3 linked regions of the Caenorhabditis elegans genome follow. The protein of the gene in region 2 interacts with the protein of the main gene of each other region in a pairwise test. Each region holds a gene or a part of one and is shown on either strand. Other genes may lie near its edges.

Region 1 (7,673 bases), 2.6 Mb from region 2:
AACGGTTTTGGGCGGTCTTCCTCTTCCGCGTTTTGGAGTGGTTGGCTCTTCCACCTCTTGTTGTACATCAATAGATGATGCTCGAGATCTCTGAAAATAATAATTTTGAAAAAAAATTATGTTTTGGGATCATACCGTCACACTTCTAGACTGTTTACTGGTACCAGCTTCATTAACCGCGGCATTTTTCTTTTTTGGGGTCTTCTGCTTGCTATCATCATCGATCGATTCGGAATTTGCTCTGGATCTAGCCGTTCGTTTGGAAGACCGTGTAGGTGTGGCTGGTTGTTCGATATCTGGAGAGGATGAACGATCTTCTTCATCTTCTTGATTTTCGAATATCGATTTAGGCTTGGTGCCACGCTGAAACGAAAACAAATCAATTTACAATTTATGAATACAACATTTTTAATTCAAAAAAATAATTAAAAATGCTTACAGCTTTACTTCCAACTTTAGGAGATCCTGCATCCTTTTTGGCGGGTCTTCCTCTTTTTGGCGTCGTCGGTGCCGATTTGTCGTCCTGATTAAAGTCGATCGTTTCCGAATTGCCCCTCTTTCTAGAAGTTGTACGTTTGGTAGAAGCAAGTGCAGATGACGATGGGTCAACAGTTGTATTTTTGACAGATGCAGAGCGAGTGCTTCTTGATGCAGGCCGTTCCTCCTCCGCTTCTTCTTCTTCTTCTTCTTGAACTTCCATTGTAACCTCTAGCGGGGATGGCATCTTTTGGATGATCGATTTTTTACCGCGCTGAAAATGTTCGAATAGTTGTATGATTAAACGATTAAACAACGTACAGTTACACTTCCAGCTCTACTAGAAGATGTACTAGCTGCAGCCTTTTTCGTGGGAGTTCTTCCGGTTTTTGGTGTCGATCTTCCATCATCTTCAGACGACTGCTTGCTAACAACCTCAGAAGTTGCCCGAGTCCGACGCCGAGTTGTCATCGCAACCGACGTCTCATCTGGTTCGGCAACAGTATCATTCCTAAGCGATGTGGAGCGAGTTCTTCGTGACGCTGAACGACTTGGAATTTCAGACTCCAAAACAGATTTATTTGCTGCCACTGTCTTCTGGGCTGATGCGGATCGAGTATTTCTCTGGAAATATTGAACTAAATTTTTAAAGAAATCACGAGAGACTTACTGATGGAGGTCTATCTTCCTCGATGAGTTCCTCTGGCTTCTGGTCTTTTACCTTTGATGAAGATTTTTGAACAGATGCCGACCGCGTATTTCTCTAGAAAAATACACATATAAATTTCAAATTTTAAAAACAACTCACGGATGGTGGTCTATCTTCTTCCGTGACTTCTCCTGATTCCGAAGTTTTCTCTTGGTTAGATGATTTTTGAACAGACGCAGAACGAGTGTTTCTCTGAAAACATAAATTTTATTTCTGTCTGTCAAATTGATGACGAAACTGACAGATGGAGGTCTTTCTTCCTCGACAAGTTCTTTCGGATCCCGGTCTTCCACTTGTGAAGTAGACTTCTGGACAGATGATGAGCGAGTGTTTCTCTGAAATATACAATTATTGCCGTTTTTCCTCAAATTTTATTTTATGGTATCTTACAGATGGTGGTCTATCTTCCTCAACAGCTTGTTCTTGAACTTTATCCGCGGTATCTTCATCACCTGTCGGAACTATGTCAGGCTCTTCCTGTAACTCTTCCTGCAGTTTAATAGACGATTCGAGAGATTCGTTTTGAGGCTCTTCCGGAATCACTGGCTGCATAACTTCAGGTTCTGGCTCTTCCTGTCGTTTTTCAGTTTTTTCAGGTTCTTTCGCATCTTGCTGAACTTCTTCAGATTCAACTACCTCTTCTTCATTCACTTCTTCAGATTTACTCTCCAAATCATCGGCTACATCAATCGTTGGTACAGCTTCACAATCCTCATCCATTTGAACCTCGAAAGATCTTTGAACTCCATCCCATATATCTTCATCTTCACCTTCCTCCTCAAGAATACCCGTTTTATCGGTTTGTAAATGACTCAAATATGTCTCATCGGTTGGTGGCATGACGTCATCATCTCGTACTTCAAACGTATCTTCCATGGGAGGAGTTTCCGAACCATTTTCTGTATTTGCAGCTTCTGGAGCAGATGTATCTTCGAGAACCTCGAAATCGTCTTGGTTTTCGAAAGTTTTCTCACTTTCAATGCATTCATCGTTTTCTTGTTCTTGATCTTTTACTTCTTCCATCTCATCCACTACATTTTTCTCTGAATCCTTCTCCTCGTCATGTTTTCCCATAGACCGTGATTTTCTAATAGTCATGGTTTCCTCTTCTTCATCTTCAAGAATTGCAAAGTTCAATGCAAGGCCTTTCCGACCATTGTCTTCAATACTCTCGTCAGCACCTCTTGGAACGTCAGCACGGAATCGGATACGGCCTCGACTAGCCGATTGGCCACCTTTAGCTGTTTTCAGAATACTGTTGTGAGCAGAGACTGGCGGCGGTCTGTTTCCAGCGGGCGATAGAAATCCATCTTGAACATTTTCCTCCTCATTATGTCGCTTGTAATACCGTGCCGGTGTTGCAATCATCATATTGATTTCTGCATTTTGGTGAGAATCCGGACTTGTGATACTGTTGATACTCGAATTGTTGGCAACAGATTCGACGGCACTCTTCCACTGTTGAATTCTCTTCGCGGTCTGTAAATTTCAGAATCTTGGTTTGTACTATTTAACTGCAATAATCTTACAGGTGGCACATATTGTGATGACGAAACACTACTCTCATCGTCTTCACCAAACTGACTTGATTTCCGCTTTCTTTCTGTTTTGTCATTGACAGAAGCGAAAACTTCAGGCATATCTTCGTCGTCGTTTTGCACCTTTCTCTCAAACATTTTCTTAACTGAAATTTCGATTTCCTGTTCTTTCGCAGTCTTCTGACGACCTCTTCCATCCTTCTTGATCATTCCTGGCAGGAAAGCCGATAGCAATTTGTTGGAACTAATCGCTTCTGATGACATTGCTTCAAACTTTTCGTTTTCAAAGAGAAACATTTGGTAGAGAATCTCAGATTCCGGATCGAGAACTGGCACTGGAAATTAAAAAAAATTAATTGGAAATGAGACTGAAAATCTATCTCACATCTAACTTTTCCACCTTCCATTTGCATTTTCATTCGTTGTTCAAATCGCTGTAAATCGTGTTTTCCGATTGTCACTGTCATCGGAGCATCTTTTCCCCACAATTTCTCATAACTAATCTCGTCATCTTTCATTGAGAATACTTTCTCTCCAAGTGCTCTCATATCATCCGATGTCTTGCTGCTTGTTAAAGCCTTCTTTCCTTGGTCCAGAATGTAATAAATTTTCTCCAAGTTAACGTTAAGCATTTGATTTGTCATGATTTTGATAGTTTCAAGTGCCAATTGTTTTTCGCTGTGTTCAGAATCTTCAGGAGATGTGGAAATCCAATCAATGACATATTGGACAACGAGTTCTCGTTTAATACTCTCAGAAATCGAAACATTCAGCAGGCATTCCAGCAAATCGAGAGGTGTTGGCGGATACCATTCGTCATGTGGAATATCGTTCCAGAATTGAGCATTTGGAGCTTGACGATTCATTTTTCGAACGACTGATTGAACGGGTAGAGATGATCTGAATAATTTAATCGTATAACTTTTTCTTAAAAAGGATTTTTCTAAACTCACGAGTTCTTTCTCGCCATATTTTTTCTCTTTGAATGTAAATCCTTCATTCTTTGCTGTCTGATCGGGTCTACAGGAATGATGGCAAAATTGATGAATTGGCTGGTAAGTTTCGTATGGTTTCTCATACATATCACAGAATGGGCCAAATTGCGAAGTCGATCATCTTTTAACGCTTTTGAACAGGCTTTCAGATATTCGTAAACAACTCGGAAAAGCTTGATTCCCTGTGCAATAGATTCTTCTGCTAGTGGAGAGAGAGCAAGTGATCTTCCCTGGAAGAGTGAAACCATCTTGTCAGAAATAGTTCTCTTGTAGTCAACAGCTTCGTGAAGTGCCCATTCTGCTAATTCCCGTTTTAGCGTGTCACTAATGTCAGGACGAGATGCCAATTGACAAAACTCTTCAATTTTTCCGTAGTAGACGATAACGTTGAGAAGAACCTTTTGATCAGACGATAATTGAAGTTCGTTTATTTCTGCGGCGCTCTGAAAACAATTTCATCAATTTAACTTTAAAAAATAAGCTCACCGAATTGGGAGATCCAGACAGAATATTTTTTCTCACTAAACCAGCTGCCATAACAACGCTGGAAATCATTTCGGGATTCCTGATGAGAGCAGGCAGTTTGACGGCGCATTTGTTCAAAATCTGAAAAAAAAACCGGAATAAAAACAATCTCAATGCCGATAAATTTACCGTGTCCTGGATGTTCTGGATCTTCATCCAGTCAATTCTGGTATTCTTGGCAACAAAAACCCTTTCGAAGCTTAATGCTGACGGATAAAACAGTTGATCTGCGTCTGAAACCATGCTAGAGAAGCTGGATACATCAGTGGCCTCATTTGTAAGAATTCCGATGTCATTTACATCTTCTGATCGGATGTTAGACTTTATAGTTGATAAGAATGCACATTGCTTGAGAACAGTTCCATCTGTAGATACTCGACCGGGAACTCTTTTGTAGTACCATGAATCTATATCAAAAATAGCTGCTTCCACAATGTATTCTGGTTCAGCATTCGGGTCTTCTGTGCCGATCACCATCTTCTTTCGTTCGTATGCCAAAAGAACAGAGTTTCGATTAGAAGTTGATCCGAATGTCTGAGAAACATTGTGCATCGAATCTTCCGTTCCTCGCTTTCTTGTGAGCATCATATGATCTCTTTCAGTAACAATAGGATTCACAGCCAACCATCTTTCTCCGAACAAAATCTTATGTTCTAGACAAACACTGAATGATGGACGGTCGTACTTTTCTTCTCCATCAACATCCTCGAGAGTTTTGAAAGATCCACGCCAAAGTTGAATCATGATTGGATGACGAGGTGAACAATCAACAGTGGCGATGAAATACTCAAATTTGTCGGGATCATCTTCTGGTTCTAATGGAGCAATTTTTCTGACAAGTCGTTCGTGTCTCAATTCCAAAAGCATCATCTGATTTGAAGGATTCAATGAAGCTGCCAGAATGCCTCCCATCGATAAACCGACAAGAAGAGTTCGACTTCTTGGCATCAACGATAACGCTGAGATATACACGGCGGCGGTTGGGTATTCACGATATGCTCCATCGTCCAAAGTGTACTGAAGAACTGAACCGCTGACGTAAGCATCTGAAACACACTAATCAAATTTGTTTAATCTTCGGGAAACTTACTCATTAGGTTGATCAAATACTTTTTCTCACTGTGAACTGTGATGACAGGACTTGACGGCGTCTCAACAGCAACTAAACGAGCTAAGTAGCATTGTGTCTCCTTGCAACCTGGAATGTAAATTTGCAAAGTTTTCATTCAAATTTGATTTATTACCAATTGCCACAATATGCTGCCACGTCATCAGTCGATGATAGAGCTTTAAAACTGTTCTCTGTGTTTCATCAGCCATGTCGGCAGACGAAAAAAGCGTCTTCACAACTGTAATTTTCGATGGAACTTCCAGTGAGTGTGTGATTGTCATGGCTGGTGAATCCGGATCAACTGCCAATGCAAGAACAAAGTGCTCGGCACCGCACGACTGACGAGGATCTTCAACACCAACAAGAATTCCGAGCTTTCCTTCTGTAAATAAAATATTTTGAAATCAATAAAGAAAATATGATAGTAATAAAAAACTTACCTTCTGTTGGAAAATAGTCCGCATCGATCAAAGCACATCCTTCAGGGAAAACGAACGAGTGAGTTACGCGTTCCCATTCGATATCGAATATTTGACACGTATTCTTTTTAAAATTCACAATGTAGGGAAGTTGACGACCTGAATGAATAGAATAATGTTGAATCGATAGAAATATGAAATACCAATTGAATCCTTCAAAATAATTTGCTTTTCTCCCCTCCAACACTCGTATCCTTGATATGATTTGAAAATGGACGAATTTTCATTATCCATTCTGAAAAAAAATAAACCTTTGCACATCGCAGCTAATAAATAACATTTAAAGAAGTGAGACAAAGAAATTATCAATTAAAATAAGTGGTTTTAGAAGTGCGTAGCTTAAAATAAGGGCTCGTCCGACTACATTCAAACGACCGGGAAAATTTGTTTTCACCAATACGCAAACACCGCAACGGAAACATACGGACTGCGAAAACAAGCGAAAATGGAAAATGCTTGCAAAGGTTAGAAGACGCAACGAAGAATGTAGAAATTGAATGGAATTCTTAAATGAAAAAAATCAATTTGAATGATTTAAATTGGAATATAATCCATATTACATCATTATCTTAAGAGAAGCACATACTTAAAATGACGTAAACCAACTTTTTAGCATTTTCAAATGACTTCTAAAAAATTAATGGAAACCCTTAAGAAACATACATTTTTTGGAGCAACGAGCGTAAAGACTGTTTTACTCAAGAAATGATAAAATGATAGGCGCATCGCGAAACCTTGTATTTTTTGAAGAAAAACCTTGTTTATTGAGTGAATAAAATTTGACTAATTGTAAAGGAACTTTTTACGAGAAATTCTTCGAAAACAAAATTAACCATCCGCGAAAAAAAAACAAACAAAAAGGAACCCAAAACAGGATGCAGGGGCGGGACCTATTCGCAGCCACCGCACACTTTTTTCGCAAGCCTCGCACGTTTTTTCTTTTGAAAAATGCAACAATATCATGGAAAAACGTGCGAGGCTTGCGAAAAAAGTGTGCGGTGGTTGCGAAATAGGCCCCGCCCCTACTCACGCGTGGCCACGTGGCACACGGCACACGTAGCGATTGAAATAAACAAATTATAACTTAAATTAGTTTGTGAAATCGGTTTCTCTCCGACACACGCGTCACTCAAAAATGCGTATTTTGCGTATTTTGTTTTCATTGGTAATCTTCGGATTAATAGTTCATGTATTGGTGAGTTGCCTAGACATCCTTCGATTTTTCTAGACCATAATGTTTCACCATTTTTCAGCCAACAACCACCACACCAAATGTGCCTGTTTCCGCCGCTACGAACACTTCAAACGTGACCGCTCCTGCCGGCAATTCGGCAAAAAGTCCTAATGCGACCGCTCCTGCCGGCAATCCGACGAAAAATGTAAACGTGACCGCTCCTGCCGCCAATACGACGCAGCTTGCTCTTGTGAGCTCGGCGAGCCCTCAAACCTGCAAAAATGGAAACGGCACACACTGCCCGTCATGTGCATACACGATCAATGTTCACAAGGACACGCCGAAGTACATCGGATATGGCATCCTGATCGCCTTCGTCATTTTCCACATTTTTTTGTATTTCTACCTCGAGGATCAGAAGGCGAGGGTAAGTGAAATTTTGCCAGTGGCCTAGCTTTTTATTGATTTAAGTTATATTTAATGAAAAGCGAATTGCGTACTACACGTGGACAACTTTCAACATACGAAACCTTCTTTTCAGGAGCAGAAGAAATATTTTGAGGAGCTCATCGCTGAGCAGATGGCGGCTAGGAAGCGAGAAGAACAAGACGATCAGCAGCACGAGGATGAGGAGAAGGAACGCCGAGAGCGGTTGGCTTATGGAA
Region 2 (4,658 bases):
TTCTTGTTAAGCAGATTTGCATTCCAGTTTAATTTTATATTTTATATCAGATTCTTACATTTTTTGATGGCCAAGAGACTCAACGTTCGCTGAAGAAGCTCGCTTTTTTATTGAAATTCCTGCTGAAGAACCTGAATCAAACTTCCAAATAATCTTCGTAACACATTCAATTGAAAATAAAAATATAAAACTTACTAGGAGATTGTTCAAATCGTACAATAATTGCCTGATCTGACGGGTGTGCATCTATTGAAACTTGATTCATTGAGCTAAACACGGAAAATCAATCGAAAAAACTCAAAAAATATTTCTCTTCATTCTGATTACCTATTATAGCTTACTGAAGAGCCGGGGCGGAGCATTTCTGAATAACTGACAAACGACAGAAATCGATGAGACGGCTCGAGGAGCACTAGTCGTGGGGGATGTCTGTTCGTCTCGCACGCTCTCCTTGGAGACGTTGCACTCGTTGTAATAAGAAATATTGCTTACACGCTTGTACCAGTGTTCTATTTTATTTGTTCGGAAAACTTTAATGAATTAAATCGACAAATGGGGGTTTTAACAATATAAAATTGAGAAACGAAGAGTACGGGATGGACGAATGAATGGAGGAAGGAAAGGAGTGGAGATTGATTGACATCATAAACATTTGTTTTAAATATTTAGACCATTTAGAGAAGTAAAATTTGATACTGTTTTAAGAGATAAGTTTAGCAAAAAAAATTAAAATTTGGAATTTAAAAACGAATAAAATGGGGATTGTTTTGATGAAAAATTGAGCCAGCAATTGGTGAGGAGTCATTAGCTCTAAATGGTCCACAGAGATAAAGAGGAAGGGATGTTGACAACGAAAGCTTGAATTGAGAGGAGATTCGCCGGGACCACAGCATCTTCTCGTGCCAGCCTAGATCATAATGAATCGAATTTAAACTTTTTCGAAACTATGTTTAAAATCAAAATTAATGTACACAACTTTTTGAAGCCGATTTACGAGAGATGGCCGAGGCCTCTTGGGGCGTGAACAACAAAGAAAAGGTTAGGTATTTACAGATGATAGATAAATCGACTGATGATTACTTCTTGGCACCCTTCTTTGGTTGCGCAGCCGGTGCGTTTCGTGGTGGGGTGACTGGTCTATTTGAACCAACTCCTCCAGCACCATATGGATATTTCTTCTTGTCTGCTGGTTTCAAGATCTGAAAAAAATATTCCGAATTGTTTTATTTTAATGTTTGATAGGTAGTTTTAGCGTTTAATAAATCACCTCAGACAAATGCCTCAATTTCACCCCGCTTAGCGGCAATTTCTTCGAAGAACTCGAATAGATAGCCAAAATAGACTCGTCTGATTTAACCATTGCATCATTGGTGAATGCATACGCATTATCAGTATTTAAAATTATATAGATGGTACCGCTATGTTTACCTGGAAAGAGCACATCAGTGTTTCATCGACAGTCATCATCGATCCCGCGTTATCAAACTCTCCACAATAATTAGGAGCGCTGAACAATGTAACCAACTGCCGCTTAGCGAAGAATTCGTAACCGTCTTCCACAACCTGAAAATTTCTCGGTTCGCAACTTTGCAGAAAATCTTAAGTAATACCTGGTGAGCTCTGCAAATCAAATCCAAATCGTGCTTGTGCAGGAATTTGGCAACAACTTCTGGTCCGAAAGTGAAAGAGACGCCTCGGTCGTTTTCTCCCCAGCCAGTGACATCCTGAAAATAAATGGTAATCATTCATTGAATTTTATGTTCACAAACGAACTTTATCAGGATCTGACCACAACAGATCGCACAACAATCCTTGATCTGGTACGTCTGTCGGCCTCATGATACGACGAATTTGCTCCATAGACTGAAGATCTGGAGAAAGTCCTCCGTGACAGCAGAAGATCTTTTCGTCGATGATGGCGGCAACTGGCAGGCAGTTAAAGCAATCGGTGAACGTCTTCCACAGTTTGATGTTGTATCGCCGCTTGCCTAAAAACATGAGATTTGAATAAATCTGTACTAAGATAATCTCAGATCAAACTCTTACACTCGTCATAGAAGCCATAAATTCTGTTGATCGAGGCACACTCGTGGTTTCCTCGGAGCAGGAAGAAATTTTCCGGGTACTTGATTTTATATGCAAGTAGGAGACAGATAGTTTCCAACGATTGTTTCCCTCGGTCCACATAATCGCCGAGGAACAAGTAGTTCGACTCTGGGGGGAATCCACCATACTCGAACAGTCTCAAAAGATCGTAGTATTGTCCGTGCACGTCACCTGAAAAATATATTTTCTCAGAATATATATTATCAAAAATAAAAACGGCAATTTCCTGTGGAAGGAAATACTAATAAGTAAAATGACTCATAGCAGGAAACGTCAACTTTTTTCGATAGAACTTACCGCAAATTTTCAACGGAGCTTCCAACTCGAGAAGAATAGGTTGGCTCAGAAAAATTTCACGAGACTTCTGGCACAACCCCTTGATCTCGCTCTCTGTGAGTTGAACATTTTTCCCTGGTTTGGATCCTCTGACTGAAGCGGAAATCATTTTAAGATTAATTTCAATAAACACTATGACAAACACATACCTTCCAATAATCTGGAGATGATATTGTCCAGATTAAGCTTTTCTACGTCCATTTGTTGCGAGAAATCGCTCAAACAACCCAATTAGATCTGCAATACGAATAGAATTACCTCTTTGAGATAATGTCAATCAACAAACGTGAAAATACGGAAAATTTAGAAAGAAAGTTTGATAATTACGTCTTTAAATCGCGTGATTACTCGAAAAGTTGATAAAAACAGCAGCAAACATGTCAAAAATCGAAAGATATTTGGAGGCGACAGGGTCAAAACGAATGAAAAGAGTGGCGGGTCTCGCCGCGAAAATGCCGCATTCAGCAGGGTACGGTGGCCGGTGGAGCGCTTTTACATGTTCTCATTTTTTCTGAATTTATCCGCTAATTTAATGATTTTGAATCTGTTTTTCTACATTTTTTCTTCTTGTTAAAATTAAAAAAAAGGGGACGTTCAAATTTTCAGAACTTCATTAGTATTGAATTGAAAAAGAGCGCGCGAAAAGGATTAACTTGGTTAGAGGGCTTTGAAAGTTGAATTTTACATTGAGGAAAATATTTCTACCATTATTTAGAAGATAAAGCTTAAAGTTTCTCTTTTCCCTGAAATTTTCACTATTTGTCAAAAACGGGGCACATATAATCGAATGATGCGCCAATTCGTCACTTTGTTTTCGACCAAGATGGCAGAGAAATTGGTTGGTGGTGAGAGATTGAAATGTGTAAATATAACAAATACACTGTTCTTCGTTCACGATTTGTCAGCAATTATGATCAGATGCAAAAACATGGGGAACAAGATGCATTAAATCTTATTAAGTGAAAGTTTAATAGATGAAAACGTAGTTATAAGAAGTTTATTTAGCATATTTTGATAAAACTTTTACTTATGAATCATTTTGAAATATGAGATTATTATAGTACTCAAAAGTTATATATTATTTAGCTAGAAATATATGAACACTTTGGTACTTCTGCATCCATGAATTCGTTCAGAAAATATATTGAAGCATTAGTTAGAAAATGAGCAGTGAGCATTTAAAAAAATCGATTGATGTCTAGTCAAGTTCAATAAGAAATAAGAAAAAAGAAAAATAGTTGGAGTGAGAAAAATCAGCAAAAAAGATGCGAGAAGTGTGGTGCTCATGGAAGCCTTCTTCTCCATCCTCCTCACAACTCCCTCCATTTCTCTGCGTCGCCTGTTCCCTCTAGTCCCTCGTGACCAACTGCAGTTTCTGTCGTTTTCTCCCCATGTCATGTCTAGCACACGTGAGAAGTGAAAAGAGAGAAAGAGAAGGGCATGATTTCGATTCTTCTGCCGCTTTTCTGTCACTGGTAACAATGCACCTTTGTCGGATCAGACACTCATAGATCGTTGATCTACCTGAAAGTTTGAGAAAAACAAAATCTCTGTTGTTTTATCTTCTCACATCTTCCTATTGATTATTTTTTCTCTTTTTTTTGTTGTCCTCTCTTCTCATTCGTTCTATCCTATCTGTTCCTGTTTGTGTTCTGTTCTTCACCACATTTTCTGAACAAATCGATAATCTGCACAGTTCGAAGAAGATGCCGCCAAACGCGAACTCTGTTGGGGGCCCGAAAAAGAAGAACAAGAAGAATCATCAACGCCCTCAACAGCAACATCAACAAACACAGCCACAACCGCTACCAGAAGAGGAACAGCCGGTAAAGTGTTACTTCATAATGATTTTTCAAAACTAAAAGTTAAAAAAATCGAATTTCAAAAAATCTCCTTTAAAAAACCGTTTAACGGATTTTTCCGTTTTCTAAAGCGCTGCAAACATCGAAACTATGCAATTATTTTCAAAGATAGATAAAATCTTAATAGATTCGGAACGCTAACGAATGTTTTTCTTATAGTACTACCCAGACGCGAAAATTCGTGCCAAAAAACGGTACTGGGTCTGGACACGACAAGTTTTTGTTGAATGTGAGCCTTTAAATAGTACTGTAATTCCAAACTTTCGATGTGTGGAGTTTACATAAATTTTTTATAGTTTTTCTTACAAATTCGATAAAAAATTCCGTAGCAACGAGTCGTGTCAAGGCCGGTTA
Region 3 (5,894 bases), 910 kb from region 2:
CGAGGTGTCAAACTCTTGCCTACCCGCCTTATTATGTATATTCTATTTGGAACTACAGTAGTAAATAGTAAGCTAAAATTATTTTTAAGAGAGGAGACTGAAGCTCCGATTTTTTAAACTCCGATTTTTAAACGCACAATAACTTCATTTTACAAAAAAAAACACGGCTACAAAAAAATTTGGTTACAAGGAATATTTATTCATTTGACTATTCAAACCATAAGTCTCCTTTAGATTGATTGAGAATGAACTAGGAATAAAAACATAACTTTGTGATTGCTCTGAGGCATAAATGTATAGGGGAAAAGGTAAACATCTTGAAGGAAATACAGCAAGTGCGGTTGATGCACAATGGGTATTTTTAGATGAAAAAAAAACTAAAATATATGGCACATTAGGTAAAGAATTATATGAGCATCAGAAGTATTGTAGGCCTGATGCAAGGGAAGGGTGAAGGCGGCATCTAAAATTATAATTTTTGACTGTTAATTTTTCGATATTAAACTCACTAGAAGTTCACAATTTTCTTAACAGCCTTAGAGAACACCAGCATTCGACTTTTCTTCAAATCGTTCCTCTGGGCAAACTTCTCGTGTTCTTCCGCGACTTTCATTTCGAGAGCATTTTTCTCTGAACGAAGTGCAATCATGTTTGAGCGTACATTTCGGAGTGCTTTCATTTTCTGGTCGAATTCCCATTGCTTCATCTCCATCCACTCCTTTCGGATTTTCCCGCTCTCTTCGCGTGATGGAGGAAGACTTCTCAGCTTTTCTAGTTCTTTTTGAACGACAGCCATCTTATCGAGACCTCTTAGCTGCTCAGCCATTTTCGAATTTCCTTGTTCTAGTTCAGCAATTTCCTGGTCACTTTCAATTTTTTTCTCGAGTGCAAATTTCAGACGAAGCTCCAAAAACTTGATTTCCGCGTCTTTTCTTGCAATCATAATCGCTTCTCGCTCATCATGACTAAACTTCAAGAGCTCCTTAGTCTTCAACATATCAATTTTCTCAGCAGAAAGTTGATTGGTTGAATTCAGAGAATCAATCTCGTGTTGTACTTTCATTTTCTCGTTTTCAACAATACGCTGAAATTTGAGAGCTTCTGGATGTTGTTCAGTGGACGGATCTTCAGATGTTAAATATACAACGTTGACCACAGCTGGATCGAAGTCTGGCATTTCGAATTGAGGAGATGGAGGTGGAAGTTGTACATTTTGTGACATCAATGATGGTGTTCCTGGGGCAGCAGTTTTTGAAGAATTCAGATGAGGAGAGCGGACTGATGTATTCTGAAAGACATTTTCGATTCAATACTCAAAGAGATATTCTTACCATCGCGAGAATATCTCTTCCCGAATCGTTCAAACTCATACTCGGCATCGAATCTTGACTCGTCTGCATAGTTTTATTCTGTCGATATTCTGTCAGAGCTTCCATTGTTTGCCCATTCATCGACATTATAGAATTCTCCAACGCAACACGACGAGGAGATTCACGAGCAGAATTCAGAAGAGATCGACGTCGTTTAGAGATAGACTGGTTGATGCTCAAATTGAAAGCCGAATATGTTGAAATCTTGGACGTGTTCACTGCTTCCGAGTCGACATTGTTCATGATTTGCGATGTTTCATTATGGCCTTGGAATGTGAAATTCGCGCCAGTATTCGAGGTATCTAAAACATACTTTTAATAGAGTTATTGAATAAACGAAATTTACCATTTTTCTGCAAAGTCTCATCTCCGAATTGCTCCTGCTCTTTGTTACTGTTCAGTTCAACAGCAATAGACTCATGGACCATGCTAATGTCTTCACACGTTGTAATTTGCATAGTTTTAAGAAGAGTATTGTTGTCCAATTCCATCGAATTGTTGAGAGTTGCACTCGAGTTGTGAAGGGCTGATGGTTCTTTAGTGGCAAGAGAAGCTGACTGTGAAGCAAGGATGACTGGCGTCTTCGACGAACCATCGTCTTCCAACTTTTGTGCTACATCAATCATGGAGGAGTGCATAAAAGCCCTTTCTTCTTCGATGAGCATAAACGACTTTTTGTCGATTTCCGAATGAACAGAAGATTCGTTTATCATGGATACGTTTTCTGAAGCATTTTCCTCTTGCCGCTCGAGAGACGTGTAGACATCATTAGTTGTAGTCACTTCTACATTCGACTTTGGCAACGTCAAGGTTCCATCATTTTGTGTCTCGTCAATGCTCATTTCGTCACCGAACACGATAGATTTCTGCGAATCAATGATCGAGTTGTTCTGAAAGAAATACATTTTTATTGGAAAGTGTGCTTAAAACTTACCGCTCCGATCTTTACTCTGGCAGGACTCTGGAACACAGCCATGGTGTCGTTTACTGCAGGTGAATCTCGAATCACCGAAATGTCCATTAAATCCTCCTTTTGAAGTTGCAAGCCGTCGTTCTGCTGATTACCAGCCTCACATGGTTGTTGTTCAGTGATATCCATATCCATGTCTAAATCTTCCACCTCATCTGCGATACTCGGGTATTTCGTTGATTTGTCAGCGGCTTCAATCGTTTTCTCGAGATCCATGCTGCTCTTACTGACGTGTTTCGGGCTGTTGAACATCGCCATAGTGTCATTTACTAGAACTTTCGGAATAGAAATGTCCATAAGCTGACTTGTCTCGAATTGATCATTTTTCTTCTCCGCGTTTAATACGGCCTGATCAGTGATGTCCATGTCCACAGGTACGACGTTCGAGGCGATATTTATTAGATTCTGAGGAACACCCAAACCCTTATTACAGATGTCTCTCGGACTGTTGAAAATGGCCAAAGTATCATTAACTTGAACTTGTGGCGCCGAAATGTCCATCAGTTGACTTGGCCCGAATGTATCATTTTTCTTTTCTTCAATTAAAGTGTGATGTTCAGTGATGTCCATGTCTACAGGCATGACGTTTGAATTAATCGGAATCCGGATAGCATTCATGGTATTATTTTCATCTAATTTACTCGTATCCATTTCAGCGGCTTCCAAGTTTGTGAAATTGAACACATTCATCTGTAAAATTAAGATAATTTGGTTCCTTCTATTAATTCAACATACCGTTTCATCGCACTGGCCGCCCGCTGCTTTTGATTCATCGAGGTCCATCGGTATAGTTCTATTCATTGTAGCGTTATGCTTCGGAACTTTGGGAATCGTGAAAAGAACTGAACGATCAACTGACATATCCTTATCTTCTTGATTCGTTGTATTGAACATTGCTAAGGTATCATCCAGTGGCATACTAACAATTCGCTCGGTAACTTTTGTTGTGGTTTCGACGATCTTTTCGTATAATAGTGTTGGATCTCTTGTGGTTTCAAACAATCTCGCCGTTTCGTTGTTCTCGTTGATAGTTGTTTCGAGAGACATATCCATAGTTTTATCGAGATTACCACCGCCGAACACTTGAAATGAGGACGTGCAGGCCGGAGATTCGGAAATATCCATGTTTCCGCCACGTGGTCTTAAAAAGATTTTTACGTATTCATTATTTCACGTTAAAGGATGGAACTCACGTCAAAATACCATCTGATCCAATAGTGTCAGTAATCTTCTCCTTAACTGGTGTGGCGTCAAGAATTTTACCATGGTCCCTGTCATACTGCCTGAAATAATTATTTTATTGATAAATTATTCACTGACTCTAACTGACTTGACATGCTTCACGTTATGAAAGCTGACTCGTCGATTAGTTGTTGTGGAACTAGGCCCACTGTTCATGACGGTTTCCTCGATGGTTTCGACGGCTTGCCGCACCTTGAGAATCGAGTTCCGCTTCTTACGAGGCTCCATCGACATGGCTGTAAATATGTTTTAAAAATGGTAATAAATTATGATTAAAAAAATAACAAAACAACGGCAGCATAAACTTCGTTAAATGGGAAAAGTAAAAAAGTGAAAAGTAAACGAAGGCAGTTTTGCTTGGCGGCAAATCTCTGTTTGAAATTGAACTTGTACAATGGAGCGAAGCTGCACTCGACACACCACCGGTTCCGTAGAACGCACACTACGAGTAATTCCTTAACTTGGGGCAGTATAATACAATTTTAATAGTTTAAAAAACCAATTGTTTCAAAAATTAGATAAAATTCAATATTAATAAATAAATATATGTACCATTACAGCTGATACACATTGCAAAAATATTTTCTACGAAATTCGAATTCTCAAAATCCGTAGTTTCTCTTGTGAGTACTGTATTTAGATATTTTTTCAGGCAGATTTCAATTAATTTTTTTTTAACCGTTAAGCTTTATTCAACACATAGAGAATCAGGCGGTATCTCTCCAGTCAGGGAATTCTAATTTTATTTGCACTTCTGTTCCATCTGGTGTAGTTTTATCCAAGAGCAATTGACATGATTTCTGAATCAATCGAGCCAAATTGTGGTGTTCTACGACAGGCTCTAAACCAATACAAATTAAGTTCCCAGAATTTTGTGATTTCTCAACTTAAAGGCAATGGAGTTTGTGGTGGAGATTCTTCAGTGACAATTATAGTTTCCATGTTCTTCTCAGTTGCTGAGAACACATTAACTCGATTCTGGAAAAGTTTTAATGAAAATCTACGTAAAAATAAAAATTACCGGCTTCTTTTTCACATTGAGAAGTTCTGCAGAATACGGATCATCTGATGCGTTCCATTCCGATTCTGTATAATTTTGAAGCGCTTCTCCAGTTGAGCTTGGTGGAACTAAAACTTTTTATTAAAAAAAAAACCGAAAAGTTATATATATTACTCACGGCTTATAGAAGTATCAGATTTACTAGGATTTTCTTCCTTCTTTTTGTTGTCCATCTTGTATTTGAAAATGATTTGTAAAATACATTTCCATAAGTGAAAACTCAAAATTACGTGTATTGCATTTTTTTTTCGAAATCTTTTAATTAAGAAAAAACATCTTTTGAAAAGGAAATAATTTTATTCTTCAAAACGATAAAATCAAAATCAAGAGGCAAAAAATGGCAGAGCAGCAACCAAGCAAAGAAGAAAAGAAAGAAGATAAAAAAGACGAAAAAGAAGAGGAACTACCAGCACCAAGTGTTCAGCAATCTATTCGACAGTTGCCGAAGATTCAAATTACTGATGATGGTAAGGATGAAATTTCAATATTACACAGATGCGAAATTTTGTTAGTTTACGCTGAGAAGTACGGTGCCCGGTCTCGACACGACCGAAATATTTTTAGGCAGCGTTTTTAGTTAGAAAACAGGCGTATGGCTTTAAGGACTACAGTAACCCAACTCCAAGCTATTTTACAGTTTTCGCATCTGGACAATACAAAGTTTAATTTCCAGATAAGGGCGAACAGCTGCCAGAATGCACTGAAGGAGAGTGGGATGCCAGTGATGAACCGTTCTCAGCTGAACTTCTGAACGTCAAAAATGCTCCAGTAAATATTCAAATTTGTAGTAAATCCTTCTAATCATCCAATTTCAGAACAAGGTATCCGTGTTCAGTGGTCCTTATCGTTCCAAAGAAACCATTGAAAAAATCAAAAAGTTCAGAGCAGCAATGCCTCCTGTCATTCCAATCATTGACGAACGGCCAGATAAGCTGGCTCAAATGATGAGTCGTATTTTCAGTGAGATAATTGACGGACGTGATCTTTCGAAGATTAAGGTATTTTTCTTTATAAAGTAAATGACAAAGGAAATTACAAATTTTACAGGTGACAGTTAGCACACAATTGCCGCAATGATTGGATTTGACAATATGAGATCGGTTGTAAATATTGACCAATAAACAATTAATTTTCCACTCGTATTAGTTAATTTCTTTTAATAGTACGGCTCCCAACTCGAGTCATCCGCGGGTCCGAGTACTCCAAGTACCAGTAAGAATATATCGACAATCCACCAGATTCCAAATCCACC

The links.
Region 1: the proteins of gsp-2 (region 2) and mel-28 interact in a two-hybrid assay, tested with the Caenorhabditis elegans proteins (one study listed by BioGRID).
Region 3: the proteins of gsp-2 (region 2) and knl-1 interact in a two-hybrid assay, tested with the Caenorhabditis elegans proteins (2 studies listed by BioGRID).

What each region holds. Positions count from the first base shown.
Region 1 is NC_003281.10:4,784,476-4,792,148, reverse strand, and holds the start of mel-28 (Protein mel-28), read right to left. Parts: upstream 6,070-7,673; 5' UTR 6,069-6,069; coding exon 5,978-6,068; intron 5,934-5,977; coding exon 5,796-5,933; intron 5,738-5,795; coding exon 5,489-5,737; intron 5,443-5,488; coding exon 5,335-5,442; intron 5,291-5,334; coding exon 4,374-5,290; intron 4,326-4,373; coding exon 4,206-4,325; intron 4,163-4,205; coding exon 3,678-4,162; intron 3,625-3,677; coding exon 3,110-3,624; intron 3,060-3,109; coding exon 2,716-3,059; intron 2,666-2,715; coding exon 1,577-2,665; intron 1,522-1,576; coding exon 1,429-1,521; intron 1,379-1,428; coding exon 1,286-1,378; intron 1,241-1,285; coding exon 1,148-1,240; intron 1,102-1,147; coding exon 799-1,101; intron 752-798; coding exon 440-751; intron 364-439; coding exon 136-363; intron 91-135; coding exon 1-90. Other genes in the region: enu-3.2 (ENhancer of Uncoordination), read left to right, coding at 6,970-7,029, 7,088-7,435, 7,550-7,673. UniProt on the Caenorhabditis elegans protein: Nuclear envelope protein which has essential roles in assembly of nuclear pore complexes and in chromatin maintenance during the cell cycle. Appears to be a stable structural component of the nuclear envelope during interphase.
Region 2 is NC_003281.10:7,334,608-7,339,265, reverse strand, and holds gsp-2 (Serine/threonine-protein phosphatase PP1-beta), read right to left. Parts: upstream 2,680-4,658; 5' UTR 2,644-2,679; coding exon 2,592-2,643; intron 2,536-2,591; coding exon 2,404-2,535; intron 2,278-2,403; coding exon 2,047-2,277; intron 1,989-2,046; coding exon 1,774-1,988; intron 1,725-1,773; coding exon 1,611-1,724; intron 1,564-1,610; coding exon 1,429-1,563; intron 1,375-1,428; exon of another isoform or gene 1,264-1,374; intron 1,200-1,263; coding exon 1,077-1,199; 3' UTR 501-1,076; downstream 1-500. Other genes in the region: kap-1 (Kinesin-associated protein), read right to left, coding at 59-131, 196-265; F56C9.10 (BCAS3 WD40 domain-containing protein), read left to right, coding at 4,149-4,268. UniProt on the Caenorhabditis elegans protein: Serine/threonine-protein phosphatase essential for chromosomal dynamics during meiosis and mitosis. During meiosis, promotes chromosomal cohesion and germline immortality via a small RNA-mediated genome silencing pathway.
Region 3 is NC_003281.10:8,248,558-8,254,451, reverse strand, and holds knl-1 (Outer kinetochore KNL1 complex subunit knl-1), read right to left. Parts: upstream 3,821-5,894; 5' UTR 3,817-3,820; coding exon 3,671-3,816; intron 3,624-3,670; coding exon 3,534-3,623; intron 3,482-3,533; coding exon 3,076-3,481; intron 3,031-3,075; coding exon 2,305-3,030; intron 2,261-2,304; coding exon 1,717-2,260; intron 1,673-1,716; coding exon 1,332-1,672; intron 1,289-1,331; coding exon 509-1,288; downstream 1-508. Other genes in the region: C02F5.2 (DUF5356 domain-containing protein), read right to left, coding at 4,290-4,423, 4,470-4,560, 4,604-4,710, 4,761-4,815; C02F5.10 (uncharacterized protein), read left to right, coding at 4,980-5,109, 5,316-5,410, 5,458-5,640, 5,690-5,719; TM2 domain-containing protein C02F5.13, read right to left, coding at 5,799-5,894. UniProt on the Caenorhabditis elegans protein: Acts as a component of the outer kinetochore KNL1 complex that serves as a docking point for spindle assembly checkpoint components and mediates microtubule-kinetochore interactions.